Linked DNA regions of Neodiprion lecontei. The protein of the gene in region 1 interacts with the protein of each later gene in a pairwise test. Links are inferred from orthologs where the notes say so. Each region holds a gene or a part of one and is shown on either strand. Other genes may lie near its edges.

Evidence for each region.
Region 2: the proteins of cyclin-T (region 1) and cyclin-dependent kinase 9 interact in a two-hybrid assay, tested with the Drosophila melanogaster proteins (2 studies listed by BioGRID). The link is inferred for Neodiprion lecontei from reciprocal best matches to the Drosophila melanogaster genes CycT and Cdk9.

What each region holds. Positions count from the first base shown.
Region 1 is NC_060264.1:32,077,741-32,084,638, forward strand, and holds the start of cyclin-T, read left to right. Parts: upstream 1-2,948; 5' UTR 2,949-3,081; intron 3,082-3,209; exon of another isoform or gene 3,210-3,407; intron 3,408-3,515; 5' UTR 3,516-3,725; coding exon 3,726-3,871; intron 3,872-5,062; coding exon 5,063-5,273; intron 5,274-5,351; coding exon 5,352-5,475; intron 5,476-5,571; coding exon 5,572-5,617; intron 5,618-5,946; exon of another isoform or gene 5,947-6,073; intron 6,074-6,587; coding exon 6,588-6,684; intron 6,685-6,800; coding exon 6,801-6,898. Other genes in the region: KAT8 regulatory NSL complex subunit 2, read right to left, coding at 1,042-1,210, 1,317-1,498, 1,620-1,866, 2,022-2,031. UniProt on the Drosophila melanogaster protein: Regulatory subunit of the cyclin-dependent kinase pair (CDK9/cyclin T) complex, also called positive transcription elongation factor B (P-TEFb), which is proposed to facilitate the transition from abortive to production elongation by phosphorylating the CTD (carboxy-terminal domain) of the large subunit of RNA polymerase II (RNAP II).
Region 2 is NC_060261.1:1,240,646-1,247,236, reverse strand, and holds cyclin-dependent kinase 9, read right to left. Parts: upstream 3,756-6,591; 5' UTR 3,609-3,755; coding exon 3,502-3,608; intron 3,425-3,501; coding exon 3,340-3,424; intron 3,092-3,339; coding exon 3,001-3,091; intron 2,920-3,000; coding exon 2,753-2,919; intron 2,673-2,752; coding exon 2,431-2,672; intron 2,331-2,430; coding exon 2,183-2,330; intron 2,079-2,182; coding exon 1,770-2,078; 3' UTR 1,520-1,769; downstream 1-1,519.

The DNA.
Region 1 (6,898 bases):
CCTATTCCAGAGTTGAAGCGTTTCCATCTCACACTGTCACCTGAAAGAAGTCTGAAAGAAAAAATAATTTTCCGCCAACGACCATGATGTCAAAGGTTCAGCCTGTTGGTCTGGCAGGTCAAAGTTACTATACACGGTAAGTGAAGCATGCAACAAATTCATGCTGGAATTTCTAAAAGTAGGTGTTTTCTTAAAAACAATGAGAGAACTCTGCAAGAGGATAATTGAAAATAAAAAAAATGCTAAAATTCTCTTCCCAGCAAAGATTTGTAGATGCAGAGTATTTTCTTGACTTTCAGTTTTCCCAGCTCTGTGATATCACGAGCAATCCACCATTGGGTAAATGTTAAGCTTATGATTGTCTCTCAGGGTTAAATCAACATCCAGTTAGAACAATAAAAATGAAGGTAAGTAACTATTTTGGTATTTAGTCCCCTTATTTAGTAATGCACAAGCAAAAGCAAGCTAGCGTTACAATACGTAATATAAAATTCAAACCTTACTTATAATTAATCTTCTAAAAATATGTGGTCACATTATTTAATAGGTACATATTTTTAAACAACTCTCAAAGCGTATGACGGTATTTCACATAGATTACAGGCAATTTGTTGGAAAGTTCCCTCAATAGTCAAATGCAAAATTTTACGATCAGACGAATCATCATTTTTAGATAAAAATATAGAATTTTGAACATTCATTCCCCTTTAATGCCGTAAGCACCTGAAATTTGAACCCTTTATATTCGCGGAATGTCTAATATTTTCCGAATAGTTTAAGGCTCTCAAAAATGATTCTAAAAAATTCTGTGATCATTTCATGAATCCATAACTTTAAAGTAGATTGAAAACTTCGTATCCCTGCAAATAATTTGAATAGAAATGAGAAGCTCAAATTTATAATTTGCATGTGAGATACTTGCATCAGAGCCAATAATTCCAATTTCAATTGCTGCGATATTTGAGTTGCAGGACAGTATACGTGTAAACAATGAATTATCCAAGCCGAGTTCTTGTGCAGAGTGTCAAAGATCCGACATACTTAAGTGGGTCCTCCTGCGAACTTTGGAGGCTTTCGTCTTCGCTATCGTCGAGGAATGCACCACGTAAAGTTTCGCTGACAACTACAGGTTCGACATCGCTATCCGAAGAGCTTGCGTAGTCAAGGACATCACAACCACTGGCATTTATTCTATAGGCATCAATTTCAGCTGAAAAATAGAACACACCTAATGAACAACCACGAAAAAGCTGAAGCAGCGATAATGTTAAAAAAAAATTAAAGGTGTTATATCTCTAGAAAAGATGGGCCCTCACCAAAAGGATCCAGAACCTTCACCTTTCCTTCTTCTTCCTCCGTATCCTCCGCACTAGAATCTGTTGGCTTAACATAGTGGCTTAGATTAAGAAGCAGAGTTTCCGGGGTCTGCGGTGGCGAATGCCGCGATGTGGACTTGATGCGAGCTAACTGTGCCCTTCTCGCATGATCTGAACAGTACCTGAAAAGCGAAGGACCGTACAGAACTTCTCTTGTGAAGCCATTCATCGTCGTTTCAAGGTATGAAGTTGATTTCAATTTAAATAAATTCAAACTGAATAAACATTCATTGCTCCACTTACGCAAGATCTCTTCGATCACCTTTCAATGCCGGGTTCTGGCACTTACGGCCATTACTGTTGTAGACAAAACTGCATTGCTTGTAAGGTGCAGAACTATCCTCTAAAATATGTCTGGAGCAATAGGCGTAGCCCGCAAGGCTCTGTTGTTTGCATTCGTATGATCCGTAAGAACAACTTTGACTTTCAGATGAACTCTTTCCAGGTCCAATTCGGGTTGCAGTTGCGTTTGGCACACGAAACATTGCTTCTGGAAATAACGGTGAATATAAAAAATTAACCTTAAAAACCAGGTGACTACAAAAAAAATATTGAGGCTTCAGTACTAAGTTCAATTCAATTGAATTGGATCAGAGAAATTTTTGTTCCATGTTGTGATTCGGTGGAATTAGGCAAAACACATACTTTTTGGCATTGTGAGAAGTGGTGAAAGAGTGCAATTGCGCTAAACTTGCTAATAATCGAGCTCCATCAGTATGAATTCTCCGATTTTTGACGTTTCTCTACATTTGAGGAAGCATTCCTTTGACCAATATTCAACTCTATTGCCACCCGTTTTTCACAATTCGTTCGTTTTGATATTTTTTACAATGAATTGCGCGTTTGATTTTTACTTGAAGATTACCAAAAACCAAATGACGCAAGGCGCTATTCATCCGTATTCAAACTTGCCGCCATTAATATCGATCGCATAATAATGGCGGCGATGTATCGATATTATGACACTAAATGCATGTGCATGTATACTGTATTAAAATAATTTTACGTTATTGATGAATTTGAGAATGCGGGGAGAATTTTAAGGTGATGAACAGATTTATAAAATGGTATAAGTCAATTCGACGACTTCGGATGGAATTTTCGGGTCAAGTAACGCGGTCGAGAGGCGTCGACAACGGATCCGATTAACGGGTTTTGCCGTCGCCATTTTGTTACTGTCGAGATCACTGCGCAGAAGGTTCGCTGCGTACGTATGTACGGTACATACAACGTGTCGAATGTAGTATGTAATTTCCGAAAAAAGCATTAAAACAATGATATCGTTATTCGGAGACGATTGAACGGACTCGGCTCGGTTGGTACTCGATTTTACGAGGAGCAAGGCTCGGCGTGAAGCTGAAATACTCACAACGAACGGTCCCACCGCTGCGACACTGTTGACGGAGTTACAGCGAAAGAAAAACTTTTCCTCGAAGGTCAGCAACGGCCCGTCGAACAGTCTTGCTACAGTTTATACACACGGATGATAACGATGCGACAATAATAACATGCCAGACACACCGGAGACGACATCCTAACCAACAATCCTCCGCCCTCGTCAAATCGCGAAAGCACGCAGCCGACTAAGGGTCCGTTACATAACGGGATCGATCGTTGATGTTTAACAACAGGCCAAGAAGACTGCGAGGACCTCGATCGGGAGATAAACAATCTCTAAGGAGTTGGAAAGGACCAATACAACAAGGTTAGGTTAAGTGCTTCCGATACGATACAGGAGCAAATTACGTCTCCGAAGCTTCGTCCATAAAGTATTCGAACGGCCATAGACCGACGCCTCTCGTCGGCAAAATTGACTCATTGTGTGCTGCCGCGTCACTTGGCACTAAAATCCACAGTCGCGTGGCGCTAGTAACGGGGAAAACATGACCATGGTTGCGTTCCGATTTTGCTCCTGGCGCTGTCAACCATATTTTATCTCTTTTGCGCTGCAGAGTTTGTAAGTAGCTCTCTCCGTTCTAGAGAGTTTTTAGCGCCGCCAGTTAATTTCGAGACGCATCCTATGACGCGCGAGTAAGTGGCAAAAATCACATTTATTATTGCGCTGTGAAAAATTTGTCGAAAATTGATCATCACCTCGGTGAATATACGAAGTATGTACATGTGGGATTAAATTTGAAGGTGTGAATTGCTCTTCGATGGTGCTCTGAGACGATCTTGGAATCGCGGTTTTGAAACTCCATCCTTGTGGTTCGCTTACTTCCGGTTTCCGTGACGTGAAGCTATCTCCTGGCGGGTGGCGGCCGTGATCGCAACCTCGGGAACCTTGAACAACGTGAAGTGCGAAGCCGAGCCTGGGTTTCTGCGTATACGCCAGAAGTGTACATATAAATGGCGGCTGACGAAAAATGGTACTTTACGAAGGAACAATTAGCAACAACCCCGAGCAGAAGATGCGGTTTCGACGCAGATAAAGAGCTAAGTTATCGTCAGCAGGCAGCAAATTTTATACAAGATATGGGACAACGGCTTTCTGTGTATCCTTTTTTAACCTTCGCATTTACCTATCTAAAACGACGCACGCGACATTTCCGCGAATCCAGCGTGCCGCCTTATATCATCGTCTATTGAGTCGCTTCCTAGTTATTCAAAAACCTTCTTCATTTCTCCTATTTTCCTTGTCATCGTCTTCCCGTTTCCTGGACCCTCCGCGCGTTTGGCGTCCCAAACTAGTGTGAGTCAACACTTGGGAAAGTTCAATGAGTTCATATCCGTGACTAGTCGAGTCACTGCCAGAGTAAAAATAAGGTAAAGCTTTGTAAACACTGGGATTGTCGTGTTCTATAGTCTAAATTTATCGAACCAGCGATCAAACACTTGCGGAATTCCAGTTTATGGTTTATTACCACTTATCTATTCTCTGCGTTTTAACCTTCTCTGTTTTGTTTTGACTACAAACTAGCTATCTTTGTGCCGCACGTGTTACCTAAGACTGCTGTTATTTTCAAATGTGGTCTGTAAAAATACTTCGTTGTTCGCTAAACTAATCAAGAAAGTCTGTAATTTGCTCTGCGAAAAGTGTTTTTTGTTTTTCAATTTTCATCAAGGTTGTACGTTTTTTAAAACAATTTTTCTAGGACTACATACATCTTCATCGATGATTAGATCATTTTGAAACCATCCCAATTGTCAACAGTTATTTTATGATTTCCTATTCCATAAGGTTGTTGTTTTAATAAAAACCGTCAATCCTTGTTTGCGTTTGTTATGTAAGTGCAGCACGCTTTAGCAACGGTGTAACGAATAAGTCGTATTCTTTCCATTGCAAGCCACTATTCATGTTTATTACTTGCAACTAGGACGAGGTTTTAATATTATAGATGCGCTTCAACAGGTTTCCTTGCCCTTACCATTGTATTTATTCTTTAGTACCGCATAGCCAGGTTAAAGTTTTACCTACAAAAGTCCTGCTTTCCACATATTTGATCATTCTCGTGCTTTAATTTTTTATCTTATAACTTCGTCGTTGTTCCTTAGTACTTACGATCATTTTTCACATCTCACAGTCTGATGGCTATGCGTCTTGTAGCAGTTTAAATAAGCAACCTCCTTATATTCTGCACAATTGGAATTAATATTTTTTGCATAGAGTAAGTAAAAAGTTCAATGGTACTTGAAACACGATTTTCCTTAACTCAACAACTCGCATATGGGATTGCGACAAACAGATCGCAGCTATGCATAAACACAGCAATAGTCTACATGCATCGGTTCTACGTGTTTCACTCGCTAGCGCAGTTCCACAGGAACGCAATAGCAACAGCAGCCCTATTTTTGGCTGCCAAGGTAGAAGAGCAGCCGCGGAAATTGGAAGTCGTTATAAAGGTCGCATACTTCTGCCTCCACAGGGAGCAGCCTGCGCTGGACACAAAGTCAGAAGTTAGTCTTTGATCGCCTCCCATCATCTGCCGACCACGTAAATACCTCTACTTTGAAACACTGCGTTTCTTATTGCAGCAATACCTCGAACAGGCCCAAGATCTAGTTTTCAATGAGAACGTGCTGCTCCAAACCCTCGGGTTCAATGTTGCCATCGATCATCCGCATACGCATGTCGTCAGGTGCTGCCAGTTAGTCAAAGGTAACTTTTCACTGCCACAAACTTTGCAGATTAATTACTTGCAGGTGATAATTAACCTGTAAAGCATTTTCTAAATTATTATAATATCATTTTCAGCGAGCAAGGACTTGGCGCAGACTTCCTACTTCATGGCATCAAACAGGTGGCTAATGATTTATTCGTACTTTACCTCGATATAAGACGAATATAAATTATCTTTTCGTAATAAGGCCTCTCGGGCGGCGGCTCAACGGCGCAACATTCTGACCTTGGTCTTATTGCTCATTAACGATTGGAGATTTGATTTTTTAAACAATTTTTTAATTTCATATTGATTCTTTATCATTAACGATGAGTGATGAATTATTTACAACTGGAAATGATGCTACAACTGATCAATTAGTCAATACCATGTGCTACGGTAACGCGTATTTCAGAATTCCACTCATTAACACCTATTCATATTTCAATTTCAATGTCGACAGTATTATTTGGGGAAGGAACGTTGCGTTGCGGTCGCGTTTATGTCTGATTCTAAAGAAACACTTATGCCCAAAGCGAAGCCCGGTCGCGCTAATTTCGTAAGCTAAGTTGACGATGCGGATTAAACAAGTCGAAGGTAAATTGAAAAAATTTAATTAAAAAATAATTACACACTGTCGACCCCAGTTCATCCACCAAACTCTTTTTGAATCCATTCAAATTTAGTTTTCAGTCCGCCGCACATAATTCCATCCAAAAATCGCTTTGAGCTTCGAGCTTTTCACCCTTGAAGCGGTAGGTTTTTCCAAAGAAGCCTTAGAAAAATCGAACCTGCTCTGTATAACAATCTTTTCACATCGGCTATCACTACGTCCAGTTAGAATCAAGTCTTAAACAGTCTAGACTCATGAAAGACTGACAAATATCAAGTCCTGACAAAGTGCCTAATTTGGACTGTTTGCATTTTTTCTTTTCTTCTTTATAATTTATCAATCGTAGAATAGTTGATATAGTGACAATCCTTCTACGTCATATTCACCCAGTAGAATCGCAGAAAAAACTTAAAGTTTTCTGTTGAGCAATATTTCCAAAGAATTTACTCTCAAGTTATAATCCATTTGTCTAAAACGTACGTTTTCCTTTGCTTTCAGTTTGCACCTGACCACAATGTGTCTTCAGTATAAGCCGACAGTCGTTGCTTGCTTCTGCATTCACCTTGCCTGCAAATGGTCCAATTGGGAGGTAAAGGTCGAACAGCTTTCTGCGGTTTATTAAATGTTTCCCGATTTTTAGTTACAACTGTCAATTCTTCTTTATTGACACGCTTCTGAGTGGCGTATTCACTCCGAATTATTCCATCGTAGATACCGCAAAGCAACGAGGGAAAACATTGGTTTTGGTACGTTGACAGGTCGGTAACATCTGAACTGCTTCAGCAGTTGACCGCAGAGTTTCTTCACAT
Region 2 (6,591 bases), on another chromosome or scaffold:
GAAATTATTTTTATATATATATATATATATATATGAAGATCTATACGCATATACATATATCCAGTGATGCATAATGAGTTTAGCTTATAATACGTGTATTAAACATACAGGTATATACAGATGTGTGTGTGGTTTATTCTTATAGTTATACATTATATTATATATTGTAATATTTATCGGTAACTGAAACGAGATGGAGAATTTTTTTCCTCATTGTCATCAATTTTTCTTCTTCAATTTTTTATCGAAGCACGAAGCATGTAGAATATAATAGTAATACGGTATATGAGTATTAAAGAGTGTAAAGAGAAAAAAAAGAAAAAAAGAAAAAAAGCGATAGAGAGAGAGAGAGAGAGAGAGAGAGTCAGCTAAAATGTACATATTAATATGTAGGATTCATACTTACCCATATTTGCAACTACATTTATAAGTATTGTCCAACGCTAGACGACCTATAATTGCAAGCTATCTTTAATATGTAACAGGGACAATGGAATATTACATGCAGATTGAAACGATCGTTACGTTATTATGTATCGAGTTCGGTTATCTGAGTAAACAATTGATCAATTAATAACAGCACGATTAGAGCGAGGCTGTTCTATTAACGACCAGACGTAGTTCCTTGCGTAGTGCCAATCACGAGAATACAGTTATAGCCAATCTGTACTAACACAAAGTCACACGGCTTGCGCGAAATAGATCGTACAGAAAGTGATATCTTAAATCTATATAATCTTGGATACAATTACGTACCGCGCGATCCTATTCGGTAAATAAGGGTACATTATTCCGTTATTCCGAGATAGGATTTAATGAAACGAACCGTTTTTGTAGTATCTTTTGATCTATATTCAAACGATGAACCAATTACCTCCCAGCGCCACACAGCTTAGCCATGTCGATTGATTAGATCTAATGCTCGTACTTTATCTTTCTCAATTGTACTACCCTTGCATTGCATTTCAAAACTATAATACTATACAAGTCATTCAACATCTCTAATAACTAATGTGTATTTTTAGTAATATATATTCTTATGATGTTGAAAATAGCATTTTGAGATCAGCGTCAGATTTTTTTCATTTTTTTTTCAATGTTGTATCTTTTTAATTGTAATTTTTCCTGAGTCCTACAATGCCTAATTTTATAATAGTTAACTAGCTACTATTTGATATATTAAAATGTTTGATAATATACATGAACCTAGCCACCAACACCTCTTATTGCAGAATATAGATGAAAACTGCGCAGAATCGCTTCCTGTTCGATTATATTTATAAGGAGTGCAATAAACAATAAATTTATATACACTGTCGTGTTCACTTGTTCTGGAATAAATAAAGTTCGTATCTTCGAACAATGTAATACATAACCAACATCATCTCATCAAATAACATATTTTGCTACTTTCCACGGAACGGACGATTCAAATCGTAAATAAAAGTGTATTAAAAAATCGGCGGCAAGTCGAAGCATATAAGTGGAGGACAGAGGAGATTGAATGAGTGTAATTTAATTGATATAGAAAATGTATATTTGAGTATATTATTACACGTGTTAAATTAAAAAAAATTACAATATATGTATAACAGTCTAATGTACACGAACTGGGCCAGATAAATCGCTACTGGTCCAACACTCTTGAAATGCAATCGCACGTTTCAGTCATACAGCAACGCTTTTTGAAAAGCGTTAGATAAATTCTATCTAACTATATCTAGGTATAATGTATTTGTGTAGCAGTGTCTGTTGCGTCTATGTACATTCTAGAATACGCGATCCTGATAACCACTGTCCGCCATACTCGAACTTGGTTTGGCAGGACCTCCAGGAACTGGGTGATGCGGGTGACGCATGTGACCCGGTCGTCGGGGCGGTGCTAAATACTCGAACATACTTTGAGTGTGCTGCGCCAACATTTTGCTGAGATCACAGGGCATTGGGTCGGTCCAGAAAAAGTCGTGATTCAGTGCCGAATCGGAGTCATACCTTTTGCTGGGATCGAGAATTAATAGTTTGTCTAAAAGGTCACAAGCAAAGGGGTCCTTGACATACGGCTTTAGTCTCTCCTTCACCTAGTACACATGAATTTGTCATTTATTGATTCAAGTGCAATTCTTCTTACAATGAAATTCGATTGATAAATTAATGTTTTAATTTTCTTATAAAATTCATGTACCTTTCTTTTTTGTCCTTTGGGCAATTCCATCTTGTTAAATAACTCTAAATTTTCTACACCGGGCCATACTTCGGTGGTCACAGATCCACATAGTTGAGAAATTAGCGTGAGCTGTTGTTGTTCAGTGTTTCCTTGCATAATGGGTGATCTGGATTTGATAAAAGTTTGACAATATGAATGCACTTCCATTAAAAATAAACTGGAAGCAGCCATAGCAAAAAACTTAATTCAAATCTTAAATCGTTTACCTAGTCCACATTTCCGCCATAATACAGCCCGCCCCCCATAGATCTACTGGTGGACCGTAATTTCTGTCTCCCAGTAACAGCTCTGGTGGCCTGTACCAGAGGGTGACAACACGGTTTGTGTACCGATTTACTTGACCGTTTTTATTGGCACTGAAAGCTCGCGCCAGTCCAAAATCTGCGAGTTTCAATATACCGTTTTTTGTTATAAGAACATTGGCAGCCTTCATATCTCGGTGTAAGATCTGTGAATGTAAAAAACGTAATTAGGAGTTTCGGCAGATATAAATGATTTTCAGAGAAACATTAGTTGAATCTAACTTACCTTGTTACTATGAATGTAGTATAGGCCATTGAGTAGTTGTTGCATGACTTTCTTTATTTCACCCAAGCTGAATTTGACGTTTACATTAGATAATAGACCTGCTAGATCATGTTCGCAGAAATCGAACACCAGGTAGAACGTCGATCGATAACGGTTGTATTGAGCCGCTATAACAACAAATCATAGCGCGGCGCTGAGTATTCTGCAGTTTTCTCACAACCAATGCAATTCGATTCTGATGAACATACCTCGAGTTCTGCATATTTCAATTAAATTAACCACATTTTCGTGCTTCAGTAACTGCAATATCTTTATTTCTCTCAGTGCTGTAATGGGAAACTGCAATGATACCATATTAGGTAAATGGTTTTGGGGTTAGAATGGAATGATGCTTATGACTAACAGTCGCAGTACAATAACGCGGTACAGGGTGTTGAATCTAGGGCTTAGGCACACGATCTCAAGTGTAAGTTATTCCAATTGTTTACGGGAGTCATGCCGAGTAAAAAAGCAAATGTACGACTAAGAGAACAAGGTCGAAGCTACAAGATGAATAATGCGGCTTGACGAAAAATTCTGATAGTTACCCCTTCTTTCTCGTTGTCCATAAGAACTTTCTTCATTGCTACGAATTTTTTGTTACTGTTCTTTTCCTTTGCTTTAAACACTTCTCTGTGAAAAAGTAATCAAAGATTGTAACAAACATAACCTTGGAGTGGGAGTTGTTAACATATGAATTGATCACGTACCCGAAAGTACCCTGGCCGATTTTAGCAACTTTTTCATATTTCGTTGATTCATCGCAGTGCGGAAAATCGAATTCTTCAATGTACTTCTCCTTTTCCTTTGTATTCATGGCGCGATAAAATATTTCACTTACTTCAAAAACTCAGGTCATTACAGTCACTACGTTTGGGTAAACCACTGAAAGTAATATCCGACAGCTATCAGAACCACGGTTCTAAACGTTCTAAACCGTGATCAGAACGAACATGAACCGCTCCGTGGAGGCCTTAAAACATATACCAGTAGAGACGCTACCGCGCTTGGTTCCAAACCGCGGCCAGGGTGGATAACTCAGGGCCTCGCCGGCAGACTGCGCTGTCGTTTTAAACGGTACAGTCGACTAAATTATATTATTTGCGTTTGTTAAGAGAACATCAGAGTATGTACATGTATGTATTCTAACATGTATTCGCATTATTTTCAGATGGTTAATCTCCAGATTTCCACGAACTGTGGCTGTAAAACATTTTTCAAACATACAGGTATATTTTCTGGAATTACATGCTGAAATAGAAGCAAGAAATGATTGAAAAAATTAGCGATGTTGTCATCTAATTTTTTCAACAATTCCTATCCTCTTCCGCGCTTCATAACATTATCAGCGATTAAGATTTGTTCAGTGACGTGTCAATCGAACAAGTCATTATCCCTGCGGTATTCTAACGTTAGATTCAACGGTCATGGGTTATGTTATGTTTATTGAGATTGAGTTTGTTCGCGCTCGGCCGACTATGACGTTGTAGGTTTCTGTGCATTGTCAACATAACGGTCTAGTGTAAAAAATTAGCAGTCTCAGATTCTCATGAATAACCCAAGTACAATCCGTCATTGAGCCACTGCATATTTCTCCAGCTTCGATAAAAAAAAAACTCGATGAAAACACACAACACTCAACTGTTAAAATTGAAGTTACATACTTAAAATCTTCATGGGTATTAAATTGTATGTCTATTCAATTAGCGAAAAACCTAAGTGAAGAACATGTATTTTGCCCTTGTTTTTGTGGTAAAGATTACCACGGCAGTACATTACCACGTCATTACTTATGATGTATTGCAGGATACAGCAACCCACCAAATTGATCACAAGTACGATCAAACACGGCACGTGTATTCGCATTTGTTTCAAAAGTACAGACATACCGCTCGTCGCGCACTCCAGTGGCGGCCCGCTAAACTATATGCCATGGCTACACATTTGCCCAACAAATGAGTGTCTACTTTGTGGAAGCTGGCCCTCAATAATAAAAATAAGTGGTATAATATTATGTAGAATATATCATCATTAGTATTATGTATAAGTATACAATATTATGATTATGCTAACTAAACTTGGTAAAGTAGTATACATTGACACCTGAACACTTGTACTAGAAATAAAACACATTGAATAAACTGAAACTGAAACTTTGTAACGATGAGTTTGTGATTTTTCTATTCCACCTCTTTAATAACCCGGTGTCAATTTCATATTTTTCAGCCGTGAGTTGTGATCCGTTGCTCGCAGCGTATCGGGACTGCGCCCAGTCGATTTCTCTCGCAAAATTACGTCGGAATAGTGCACGAAAGACCTTATTCCAGCACTTTTCGAAATCGCGAAGATTTTCGCCAAAAATGCAAAGGGTTAGCCTTACTTTTTCTTCATTTTTGGAGCCGAAAATTTTTGGTCTCAGATACGATTTGTATGACCATTTCCTAACTAATTGGACCGCCAGGAACTCAGAAAACGCAGCGAAAAGAGCGTGGGATCAACAGGAGAGAAATTCCGAAGGAAAAAGCACCCGCTGAAAAACGTCGAAAACACAGGTTCTGGTTTTTTGGCTGTAACTTTTGATCTGTTGCTCGCAGCGTATCGGGACTGCGCCCAGTCGATTTCTCTCGCAAAATTACGTCGGAATAGTGCACGAAAGAATTTATTCCAGCACTTTTCAAAATCGCGAAGATTTTCGCCAAAAATGCAAAGGGGTTAGCCTTACTTTTTCTTCATTTTTGGAGCCGAAAATTTTTGGTCTCAGATTCGATTTGTATGACCTTCTCCTGACTAATTGGACCGCCAGGAACTCAGAAAAAGCAGCCAAAAGAGCGTGGGATCAACAGGAGAGAAATTACGAAGGAGAAAGCACCTGATGAAAAATGTCGAAAACACAGGTTCTCGTTTTTCGGCTCTAACTTTTTATCTGTTGCTCGCAGCGTATCGGGACTGCGCCCAATCGGTTTCTCTCGCAAAATTACGTCGGAATAGTGCACGAAAGAATTTATTCCAGCACTTTTCAAAATCGCGAAGATTTTCGCCAAAAATGCAAAGGGGTTAGCCTTACTTTTTCTTCATTTTTGGAGCCGAAAATTTTTGGTCTCAGATTCGATTTGTACGACCATTTCCTGCCTAATTGGACCGCCAGGAACTCAGAAACTGCAGCGAAAAGACCGTGGGATCAACAGGAGAGAAATTCCGAAGGAAAAAGCACCCGCTGAAAAACGTCGAAAACACAGGTTCTGGTTTTTTGGCTGTAACGTTTGATCTGTTGCTCGCAGCGTATCGGGACTGCGCCCAGTCGATTTCTCTCGCAAAATTACGTCGGAATGGTGCACGAAAGAATTTATTCCAGCACTTTTCAAAATCGCGAAGATTTTCGCCAAAAATGCAAAGGGGTTAGCCTTACTTTTTCTTCATTTTTGGAGCCGAAAATTTTTGGTCTCAGATACGATTTGTATGACCATTTCCTAACTAATTGGACCGCCAGGAACTCAGAAAACGCAGCGAAAAGAGCGTGGGATCAACAGGAGAGAAATTCCGAAGGAAAAAGCACCCGCTGAAAAACGTCGAAAACACAGGTTCTGGTTTTTTGGCTGTAACTTTTGATCTGTTGCTCGCAGCGTATCGGGACTGCGCCCAGTCGATTTCTCTCGCAAAATTACGTCGGAATAGTGCACGAAAGAATTTATTCCAGCACTTTTCAAAATCGCGAAGATTTTCGCCAAAAATGCAAAGGGGTTAGCCTTACTTTTTCTTCATTTTTGGAGCCGAAAATTTTTGGTCTCAGATTCGATTTGTAC